Linked DNA regions of Ovis aries. The protein of the gene in region 1 purifies or fractionates together with the protein of each later gene. This does not show direct contact. Links are inferred from orthologs where the notes say so. Each region holds a gene or a part of one and is shown on either strand. Other genes may lie near its edges.

Region 1 (5,794 bases):
AGTGCTGCACTCAATATGCCAGCAAATTTGGAAAACTCAGCAGTGGCCACAGAACTGGAAAAGGTCAGTTTTCATCCCAATCCCAAAGAAAGGAAATGCCAAAGAATGCTCAAACTACCACACAATTGCACTCATCTCACACGCTAGTAAAGTAATGTTAAAAATTCTTCAAGCCAGGCTTCAGCAATACGTGAACCGTGAACTTCCAGATGTTCAAACTGGTTTTAGAAAAGGCAGAGGAACCAGAGATCAAATTGCCAACATCTGCTGGATCATGGAAAAAGCAAGAGAGTTCCAGAAAAACATCTACTTCTGCTTTATTGACTATGCCAAACCTTTGACTGTGTGGGTCACAATAAACTGGAAAATTCTGAAAGAGATGGGAATACCAGACCACCTGATCTGCCTCTTGAGACACCTATATGCAGGTTAGGAAGCAACAGTTAGAACTGGACATGTAACAACAGACTGGTTCCAAATAGGAAAGGGAGTACGTCAAGGCTGTATGTTGTCACCCTGCTTATTTAAGTTAAATGCAGAGTACATCATGAGAAACGCTGGGCTGGAAGAAGCACAAGCTGGAATCAAGATTGCCGGGAGAGGTAACAATAACCTCAGATATGCAGATGACACCACCCTGATGGCAGAAAGTGAAGAGGAACTAAAAAGCCTCTTGATGAAAGTGAAAGAGGAGAGGGAAAAAGTTGTCTTAAAGCTCAACATTTAGAAAACGAAGATCATGGCATCTGGTCCCATCACTTCATGGCAAATAGATGGGGAAACAGTGGAAACAGTGTCAGACTTTATTTTGGGGGGCACTAAAATCATGGCAGACAGTGATTGCAGCCATGAAATTAAAAGATGCTTACTCCTTGGAAGGAGGGTTATGACCAACCTAGATAGCATATTGAAAAGCAGAGATATTACTTTGCCAACAAAGGTCCTTCTAGTCAAGGCTATGGTTTTTCCAGTAGTCATGTATGGGTGTGAGAGTTGGACTGTGAAGAAAGCTGAGCACCGAAGAATTGATGCTTTTGAACTGTGGTGTTGGAGAAGACTCTTGAGAGTCCCTTGGACTGCAAAGAGATCCAACCAATCCATTCTAAAGGAGATCGGTCCTGGGTGTTCTTTGGAAGGAATGATGCTGAAGCTGAAACTCCAGTACTTTGGCCACCTCATGAGAAGGGTTGACTCACTGGAAAAGACTCTGATGCTGGGAGGGATTGGGGGCAGGAGGAGAAAGGGACAACAGAGGATGAGATGGCTGGATCGCATCACCGACTCGATGGACGTGAGTTTGAGTGAACTCCGGGAGTTGGTGATGGACAGGGAGGCCTGGCGTGCTGCGATTCATGGGGTCGCAAAGAGTCGGACACGACGGAGCGACTGAACTGAACTGAAACTACCAATTGGGATTCCCTGATAGCTCAGTTGGTAAAGAATCCGCCTGCAATGCAGGAGACAACAGTCGATTCCTGGGTCAGGAAGATCCCCTGGAGAAGGGAAAGGCTACCCACTCCAGTATTCTGGCCTAGAGAATTCCATGGAAAGTCCATGGGGTCGCAAAGAGTTGGACACGACTGAGCCACTTTCACTTTCATACTAACAATTGGCCCCATAATAGTCACAGAGATTTTTGTGTTTAGTTCAACTATGCTTGAAGTGAAGTCGCTCAGTCGTGTCCGACTCCTTGCAACCCCGCGGACTGTAGCCTACCAGGCTTCTCCGTCCATGGGATTCTCCAGGCAAGAATACTGGAGTGGGTTACCATTTCCTTCTCCAGGGGATCATCCTGACCCAGGGATCGAACCCGGGTCTCCCGCACTGGAGGCAGACGCTTTAACCTCCGAGCCACCAATAGAAGCACCTGGCACTGGGTAAAATATTCAATAAATAATTCTTGCACAAATAAGAGCATTTCTGCTGGACTATTTTCCGCAGGACCACTCAACAGCCAACTCCAGGAACCAGAACCCCTTTCTCTATTAAAGACAGAGAGCTGACCAGGCCGGGTCAATACCTTGGAACGGAGCCCACAGCTTGCAACAGCTCGGAAAGGTACCTAACAAGTGCCACGCAAGGTTACGATTGGGCCCAGAATGAGGATGAACAGGCATTCGGCCCAATAGGAGGTTGGAATTTGCAATATGGGCGTGGCCCGAACTGCTTCAGGGACGGCGCTCTGGCCGTGCGGAAGACTCTTCTGTGCGTTGCTCCGTCCCGCTTCCGGCCGACCTTTTTTCCGCTTCCGGTCCGGTACTGGCGTCTTTGCTGAGGGTCACATTGAGCTTCCAGCGACTTCAGGGGCATCTTTAGGTGAGTGTTGAGGGCTTGGGACCCTGGAACCCCATCTTGGAGGACTGAGGATCCCTACTAGAAAATGAAATGAGGTTTCCAGCCTGCGGTGGCTGACCTCCCGGAGCCCTGGGGTCGTTTCAATCTGACGATTATTTGGTTCTTCTCGGATGTCTAGAACTTTCAAAGCGATTTATATTGATTCATTTAAGCTTCCCTCCAACTCTCTGAGATAGGGCCTGTGATTATCTCTTTTAGGAGGCAACTGAGGCTTAGATACTACGCAGTTTAGCTAGCGATCAGGATTTGAAATCATTAGGACTGCATTGCTCTTAATCACCAGGCCGCAGGCGTTTCTCTCCCCGGTCTCTGACCCCCGAGGCTTGGCTGGCCTGGCTTCTTGGTGACTCTCCACCCTCACCCCCTGCCCCTTGCACGTTCGAGGGGCTGCAGCGTCATCCCCAGTCCATCCTTACTCCCGAAATCAGGTGGAGATGGCTTTCAAAACAACTCTTCCGACCGAGTCTGTCCCCGCCTCTAGTGTTCTACATCCTCTGCTCCCGGAAAGACACTACTCCGGTGCCCCAAATCCTTACCACTACCTTGGGTCACTTGAATTTATTACTGGTCTGGTTAACTTATATGTAATACCACGACTCCTCGAATAATCTGGAATAGAGGCGGTGTCAGATTTCCTAATGAAAACCGTTTGTCACCTCATAAAAGATTATGGGACAGGTTTTTATCCCTAGGCCCGCAGAATGGATGGAACTCATGGGATGCTAGTACGTGAATGGAGGGAAATTTACGTCTGTATTTTTGCCAGTTTCTCATTGAACTCTCTTCCTTCGCTTGGGAATGGAGGCAGTAGCGGTAGTATTTGGCATCATCTGTGACTTTATCAGCAGTGAAAATGACAGGTCATCATATCATATATCCCATTATGTTTGCAGATTTCACAGCATGACCCTATTCAGGCGTGATTATTTTGAAATTGTGGTAGTTCATAAATCCTCAGCTACATGTAATTGGTTTTCTTTGTGATCCTGTGCCATTTTTAAATGCCCTGAAACATATTTGGAGAAAGGGTTCATTAGACTCCTGAGTACTTCATGGCACCAATAGAGATTAAGAACCTTTGCAGTGTAGGTTATGTTAGTGGTGGGAGTGCACCTCCACTCCATGTGTGCTGTATGACCTTGGGAAGTTGCTTAAACACCCTGTCTCTTGTCTGTGAAGCAGTGATAGTAATAGTTCCTGTCTTTTAGAGTAGCTTTAGGAGTAAAGCTTCCTTGCCTATAATAAGCACTCAGTGAATATCAACTAGTGTTATTTTGGCCTGTTTTTTTTTTTACCGAGCAGTTGTCTACCCCGACACATCCTGCTGTGACTTCCATAACTAATGTGTTCTTGCCCAGCCCTTCACCTCTATCTGTATGTTGAAAGGGAGGGGGTATTGGCTTGTTCACACCCAGCCCATTCTTCTCTGTCAGGTCTCCACTGGGCCTGGGTGGGCTGACAGCCCCCTGTCCAGGCCCCCAGGACCTCTGCCACAATCCACTCTGTTTCCCTCCAGGAGTGCTGACACTATGGCAGAAGACATCCAGACCAAAATCAAGAACTACCAGACTGCTCCTTTTGACAGCCGCTTCCCCAACCAGAACCAGACCAGGAACTGCTGGCAGAACTACCTGGGTGAGCAGGACTTGGGGAGGAGGCGGGCAATGTTGACCTTCCCCTGATCCCACACTTACCTCTTACCTCCTCATCGCCTCTTCTCTTTAATTCTGAACATCCTACTTCACGGGGCCCATGCCACCCATCACCTCCTGTATTCAAGATTTGACCTAAGGTCACAAACTTTGGATTCCATAGTCATTTCCCCCCCCAAGATGTGTATATGTCTATCTGTATGGAATGTAACATGCTTATAGGAAGTACATAAACCATAATGTACAGCTAAATCAATAACTCTAAATTGAATCCTCCATGTGATTATAATCTGGATAGAAAATGGGATACTGCCAGTCCCCTGAGCTCCCCTGTCTGCTGCATGCCGTCTCTTGAAAGCAACACTCTGCTCTCCCCACCAGAGTTGTAACCCCACAGACCTAGGGCAGTCATATTTTGGTTTTATCACCACTTTCAGGTCTGCCTCTTTGTGAACTTTAGAAATACTGTGTGTTGTCTTATGCTTGGATTTCTTCATTCAATAGTTATGAAGATTCTTCCATGCTGTGGCATATATTTTTCTCATTTTTATTGTGTGCAGTTTTCCAACATTTCATTCATGAACACTGGTGTGGTTTCCAGTTTGGGGCTCATATGAATGATGCTGCTATGATTGATGTAATTTGATGTCTTTGTGAATGCTTTCTCTCTTAGGGAGTGTGCCCAGGAGTGTAATACTTGGAATAATCTTTGAATTAATTTCCTACTATTAAAAACCAGATTATCCCCCTCCTTTCTCCTCTCCTGGATGCCAGCATCTTAGCATCAAGACCATCTTGCCCTTCCCTTGTCCTGGTTCAGGACTTCCATAATCCCTACACACACCTCTCAGGTTGCCCTGTTATTCCTGACTCAGAAGTTCCAAGTTGAACAGTAGTTCTTTTTCTTTTTTTTCTTGGCTACTCCGGGTCTCCTTTGTGGTGCACAGGCTAGGCTTCGTTACCCTGTGGGATCTTAGTTCCTCCACCGGGGCATGAACCCAGGTCCCCTGTAATGAATGGAAGGTGGATTCCTAACACCAGGGAAGTCCCAGACAGTAGTACTTTATGGATTGCAAAATAAGCTTAGTGTGGTGTGTCTAGCCCTTTTTAGTACTACACTTGTAAGGATATACTTTCTTTGTGAAACTTGGGAGTGTGGGGGATTCGTGTAACTGGTTGTGAAGTAAAAAGTATTTCTGTGAGTTTTGATCAGAAATATGTTCCAGCTCTTGGTCTGGGCTGACCCTGATCCCTTTTCTTCACAGACTTTCACCGCTGTGAGAAGGCAATGACTGCTAAAGGGGGTGACGTCTCTGTGTGCGAATGGTACCGGCGTGTGTACAAGTCCCTTTGCCCCATATCCTGGGTAGGTGCCTCCTCCTGGGGCCCTTGGGATGCTGGGGTGGGATGGGGTTTTTGCCAAAGGGCATATGGGGACTTGGTGCGAGCTTATCTGTGAGGGGCAGAGGGAGGACAAGGCTTCACACCGACCATGGATGCACCTTTGCTTCTTCCTAAAATTGCCTGCCTTTCCTCCTTTCACCAGGACTCTCAACCAGCCAGGCTCTCAGCTAAGGCAGCCAGATCTATCTCACCCAGGTGCTCTACGAGTACATGCCCTGTCCCTGTGGAGCTCATCTGCTTTTGGAGTCTTGTCTTTTCTTTACATGAACATTTCCAAGTGTGTATAAAAGTAGAATAATTGAGTCAGTTCAGTCGCTCAGTCGTGTCCAACTCTTTGCGACCCTGTGAATCGCAGCACGCCAGGCCTCCCTGTCCATCACTAA
Region 2 (5,955 bases), on another chromosome or scaffold:
TAGGGGCTGACCTACAGCTCCTGAAAATCACTTCCTGTGTAACCCAGGGTCAGCTGCTTTACCCCTCTGACCCTGTTCACTCATTTATAAAGCACAGATGTCAACAGTAACTCCATTACTGGATGGAGGTTAGAGTGATTAAGAATCCTGTGTCCTTCCTGCTCCAGCCCACAATCTTCTGATCTTTCTTCGGCACCGGGCCTTCTGGTCCCTGTAAATGTGCACCCCAGTACTGGGTCAATCAACGAAGGTTTGGTGCCAGAGGATACCCAAATTCATCTACACTCTTTGGCAAAGATCAGGACCCTATGTATCCGAGATTCTCTGCCCATCAGGACTGAAGATAAACTGCTTTTTAACATAGTAAGCACCTGCGGTGCACCAGGCACTGTGCTAAAAGCAGAGTCTTCCTTAAACTTCACAGTAACCGAGCCCATGCGGAAACAAAAATCCCAAGAAATTAAGGTCACATAGCTACTGAGGAAGAATCTGGATCTTTCCCCAGGTGGGCCTGACTCCAAAGCCTGTCACACCTTCCCATGACCCACCGAGCTGGCTGTGGGGCCCTGGGCAAGCACGTGCCCCTGCTGGGAAGCCCTCATCTGTAAGGTATGGTGGCGGTGGTCTGAGGGCACGCCTGTCTCCTGACACAGCCCAGGCCTCCCCTGGCAGACCCTGCATCTGGGGGACCACCTCTAGGTGCACCGCTTAAGGCTTCTCGGCCTCCCAAACAACTCTACACCAGGCAGGGTGTACTGGGGCTGTGGGTGACGAAAGCCCTGGCTTCTCAGGGGGTGTGGAAGGCAGAGAGGACGCTTGGGGACAGAGGAGGAGCCTGGAAGGGTGTAACAGAGCAGCGGAGAGTGGCTAGGACGCTCAACCAAAGCAAGAGGGAGGGAGTGCCCCGGCTGGCAGGGCTCCGAGCTGGCTCCAGACACTTTCACAGAGGAGCGAAGCCTGAGTCACCAGCTCCTTCTCCCAACACCCTGGTGGGAGGTGCCCCTCGGTTTGTTGAATGAATGTTTGGCTTAAATAGAAAGGTTCCTGAGAAAGGCTGGCTGCTGGCAGGAGGCCAGCAGCCTTTCCAGGGGCACCACCTTCAGCGAGGGGCTCTGCAACTAAACCCCTGCTAGGAGGACGAGCGCCCGGCCGTAGGGAAATGCCCCCCTCTGCCCGCCGCCCTGAAGTCTCCGCTCCCCACCTGGCCTGCGCCCCTGTATCATAACAGCCCCGGTCTTACATACCCCGCTGGGCACGCAGCTCACCGCCCGCCCCGTACAGCACGTCGCTGGACAGCTCCAGCAGGGCGGATCGGCTTCCCCACCGCCCCCGTGGACTGGCCACCTCTCTGCGGCCCCGTCCGGCCCTCCAAGTCCGCACACGTGACAACCCTGAAGGTCCAGGAGGGAACCGGGAACGAAGAGAAGGGCTACGCGGAGGCGCCCCGCACCAGAGGACCCCCGAGCCGGAGCCACGGGCCAGAGGCCCGGTCCCCAACACCGCGGGGCCCAAGGAGTCGGGCAGGGCTGAGCAAGACAGACGGCACAGCTGCCGGAAGGCGCGGACACGGGTGCGGGAGGGAGGCGGGCGAGTGGACGGGGGGGACCACCCGGCAGGGCGCCGCGACACGCCCGCGGGAAGAGGGGCCGGAGGACCGGGAGGCCTGGGTGTGGCCGGCGGACCAGGAGACACTCACGTTCGCGGCCATGGTGGGGCCCGGTCGCCGCCCGCCTCGCTCGGCCCAGCGCGGAGTAGGGTTTACGCCGCAGCACTGAGTCCGCGACCTCTCGCCCGCCCGAGAGCGGCAGACAGCGGCGCAACCCAGGGCCCGGGACGCGCCACAGAGCTGCCGCCCAGGGAGCCCGGGCTCTTTTGGCCCTCGCTCGCCGTGCCGCACTGCCTCCTGGGAAACGTAGTCCTGGGTCGGGTGCTTTCCGAAAGTTGCCACCCACTGACGCCTCACAGACGCGCCCGCGCACTGCAAGCCATTCTGGGAAATGTAGTTCCTACTGCCTGGGGCGTGGCCGCGAGGCGCGCAGCCTGCCGGGAAATGTAGTTACCGGCTGAGCGCGCCGAGCTGGAAGCGCCGAGGCAGGCGCGCGGCGGGCAGGCCTGGGGGGCGGGTCCGTGCGGGCCTCCGAGCCGCCCGCCCCGCCGCGGAGAGGTCACGGCGTGAGGCGACCGCCGCGAGGTCGGAGCGCCGGGCTGCATCATGGCCTACTGCCGGCAGGAAGGTAGGAGGGCGGGCTGCGTGGAGACGGCCTCCGAGGCCCTGCGACACGCGGTCCATGCAGCGCCCCCACTGAGGGCGCGGGGCACGAGTTCCCGGGAGGAGGGTGCGGGTTGGCGGCGGGGTCGCCAGCCCCACTTTTCGGATGAGAAAACCGAGGCCCACGGAGCAGTAAGGCTGTCCCGGGTCTCGGAGAGACTCGAACCTGGACCTCGGAGGGAACAGCACGTGGGGAGACTCGTAAACTGGGCCCGGGGGTTAGAGCGGCGCGAGCGCGCTGCCTGAGGCTGGTAACGGGAAATGTGCTGATTACTAATTATGTTGCTACGCCGCTCGCCACGCACCACGTGTTCCCGTTTGCACCGCCTCTAACTGACCCGGAAGGTCGCCCCTCGGTGGGCGCGACGCTGGCGGTGGGAGTGCCGCCGGCGGGCACGGGTCAGGCCCTGCGCCAGGAGCCTTGAGTGGCCTGTCTCGCAGCGACTTTCCTAAATCAGGCCCTGCTCTTATCCCAAGAGTAAACCAAGACCCCAGAGGTGACTTGGCTGAGCCACGCGGCGGGCTACTCGCGGAGCTGGGGTTGGAGCCCGCGGTCTGATTCCAGAGCTTCTCCGTCTGGTGCCCAGAGGACTCCAGGGAGCCCTCCGCTGGGAAGACATCCCGCAGAAAAAAACAAAAGTTGGTCCCCGCCTGCGGTCTCTCACCTAGGAAGTCTCCAGGCCGCGGTTCGCGGGCCTCCCCGCGCAACCACGAACTGTCCCTGAGCTGACACCCAGGCCCTCCAGGCCCAGTTGTCCAGTCTTGTAAAATGAGAAGTTAGTCTTCATTCATTCCGCAGATATTCATGAAGCACCTTCTCCATGCCGGGTGAGGGGGAGGGTGGATATCTGAGACTGAAGTTCCAGAGAGAAGTGGAAGTCCCAGGAAATTCTCTAGTGAATACTCCAGCTCCCTCAGTTATTTCAGGAAATCCTGAGCCCAGAGATGGAGGTGACCTGCCCAAGGTCATGCTTCAATTAGGAGAAGTGTGTCAAGCTTCAGCTCACGGCTCAGTTTAAAATACTAAGCCTTTGTGCCAGTGGCCTCCTCTGGTGGCTCAGATGCCAATGCAGGAGACTGGAGTTCAGTCACAGGGTGGGGAAGATCCCCTGGAGGAGGAAAGTGAAAGTGGCTCCGTCCTGTCCGACTCTTTGTGACCCCATGGACTATACAGTCCATGGAATTCTGATAAAGGGCAACCCACTCCAGCGTTCTCACCTGAAAAATCCCATGGACAGAGCAACAGTCCATGGGGTTGCAAAGAGCTGGACACGACTGAGTGACCAATTTCCCAGTACCCCATTCTGCCTCAGGAACCCTCCTTCCCTGGGCCGCAAAGCCACGACACAGTGATGTCTCTCTCTGAGAAGCAGGTCCCATTGATTGATACTGAACTCTGCCATGAGCAGAAGTCCTCTGCCCTCACCAGTTTGTTAGAGAGTAGGTCTCTAGTTTTTTATTTCATCGTCCTGAGTCTAATTTACTCCTTTGTGTAGCAGATTTTTTTTAGTCTTTTGAGTATAATGAGGCTATAATCCTCATTCTTGTGGGTTCCTAGGAGTCACATGTTATCTGGGAAGCAGAGGTAAGTGTTCAGACCCATATCTTTTCCTGGATCAAAGATCACTTTCTTTCTTTGGGGATAAGAATTAAAAGCACTCCCTTTAGGCCTTGCGTGGTTTTTATCTATCCACGCCACTGTCCCCTCAGTCCCGAACTTCTTGTTTTTCTATCCATGGATTCCTTATGCTTCCCATGGGACTTAGAGCACTGACCCCAGCTCCTTCCTGATTAAGGCCTGTGTGATTGAGGCCTGACCTGGCTCCTGCTGGTCTCTACGCACCTGTCATTGTGCAGCCAGGCCGGCCTCTGGCTATTCCCTTGGCCTGGTGCGTCCCTCCCCCGGCTCTTCTCACGGCTGCTTCGTCATCCTTTAGGGTTCAGTGCAGATGCCACCTCCTCAGTGAGGTCTTCCCTGCCTTCCTGTCTTCCACATCCTAAACTCTCGGAAATTCCCTGGTGTACTTTTGTCCTCTTCCGGCTTGTCTGCGTTGCAGCAGGCTGAGAGCATTAGATGGGCCACACTCCCCGCAGCGTCACCCAGTGGACCGGTACACACGGCTGCCCTCTCTTCTGAGGGAATCACTTGCCCATGCACTTGACTTCAGGGGTCCGCCCCCCAGCCCTGGGGTCAGTCAGGGCGTTAGGCAGCATGGACTCCGGCCGGCTCCCTGGCCCGGGGCCGCCCTGCCCCTGTCGCTGTCCTCCTTCCAGCTGGCCTCGCTCTTTCCTGTTCTGTCAGGAGACAGTCACCGAGCACCTGTGATGTGCCGGCCCTGACCACATGGCAGAGGCCGTTGGCACAGGTGGGTAGTCTGCCCCGTGGCATGGTGGAGGCAGTGGAGGGGGCAGGCTGGGTGTGGCAAGCGGTGATGTGTTCTAGGGGAAATGAGACCACCCGAGCAAGGTGTTATTTTTGTCCCTGTGACCTGCTTCATGGTGATAGCCATCTCTCCTCCATACTCAGCGGGGCCTGGGATCTTCTTGTCTGAGCTCAGAGCTCATTTCCCCACTCACTTTTCCAGCAAATACTGATTGCTCACTGTGTCGCAGGCACTGTTCTAGGCTCTGAGCTACTGCAGTGAATGGAACAGATGCACCCTTGCCCCCGAGGAGCTGACATGTCAGTCGAGGAGATGGGTGGTAAACAGATAAGTAATTGTGGGTGAGAGAAGGCGGGTTAGAGGCGATGGGGAGGGATGAAGGAAGGTGCCATCTGAGCAGGAGGTCTGAAGTCAGGGCAAGGTGGCTGTGAGGTGTCTGAATGCGCTCCTGGACGACAGCACGGCCTGGCAGGTCCCCGAGGTAGGCGTGCACTCAGCAGCTGTTGTGTGCTTGAGCCCCAGTCTGAACCCCCGTCCTGAGCCTCTGGCACGCTGATGGCCCCGGGAGCCAGCGCCTCCCAAGCCAGCCCTCCCTCTCGCGCAGGGCCGTGCGTGTGCTCTTGCTGCAGACCGTGTCAAGCCCTGTCAGCTGGTCTGTTAAACCAGCATGGCCATCGAGCACCAGGGCTAGAGATACAAGATAAGTCACTGCCCAGGCTTGGACCCCTTGGCTCTGGGCCTGACACCAGCCTCTGCACTGGCTGGGCCTGGCTGAGATCTTGGTGAACAAAACTGTCAGAGCGGAGCCGAGCGGTCGTGTCAGCTTCTGTCTTCTGCTTAGTGCAGCACTTCCGTGGACTGCTCTCGAGTGTTCTGAACTCTGGCCGGAGTCCCCGAGGTCTTTAGGTTCTTCAGCACGCCCTAGCTGCCTGGCCCCAGTCCTGCCCCAGGCCGTGTGGGACAAGCCGCCTTCTCTGAGGTCCAGTGTGGGGTGCTGGAGCGGGCGTGGGCCTGTGTGTGCGGAGCGTCAGCCGTCACCGCTGTCACCCGCCCGTGAGACAGCGGGGAGGGTGTACCGCCCCGCACCTTCCCTCTCCCCGCACCGCCCTCTCCCGCACGCCTCTCAGCTCCACACGGTCACCCTGGCGCTCTTCCCAAGCCTCTGCCGGGGGAGCCCGCTGGCAGGCCCCTCGGGGCCTGGACGAGGTGCTCTAGGCCACGGGAAGGAGCAAAGCTGTGGAGCCGTGGGAGTTCTGAGCCAGGCAGGACCGGCCTGTGAGACGCCAGCAGCTTGGGGGCTGA

Evidence for each region.
Region 2: the proteins of cytochrome c oxidase subunit 6B1 (region 1) and CHCHD4 purify together in Homo sapiens (co-immunoprecipitation; 3 studies listed by BioGRID and IntAct, with this or other methods). This does not show direct contact. The link is inferred for Ovis aries from reciprocal best matches to the Homo sapiens genes COX6B1 and CHCHD4.

Annotation. Positions count from the first base shown.
Region 1 is NC_056067.1:45,680,806-45,686,599, forward strand, and holds the start of cytochrome c oxidase subunit 6B1, read left to right. Parts: upstream 1-2,244; 5' UTR 2,245-2,316; intron 2,317-3,871; 5' UTR 3,872-3,884; coding exon 3,885-3,990; intron 3,991-5,272; coding exon 5,273-5,373; intron 5,374-5,794. UniProt on the Homo sapiens protein: Component of the cytochrome c oxidase, the last enzyme in the mitochondrial electron transport chain which drives oxidative phosphorylation.
Region 2 is NC_056072.1:58,006,227-58,012,181, forward strand, and holds the start of CHCHD4 (mitochondrial intermembrane space import and assembly protein 40), read left to right. Parts: upstream 1-2,065; 5' UTR 2,066-2,212; coding exon 2,213-2,234; intron 2,235-5,955.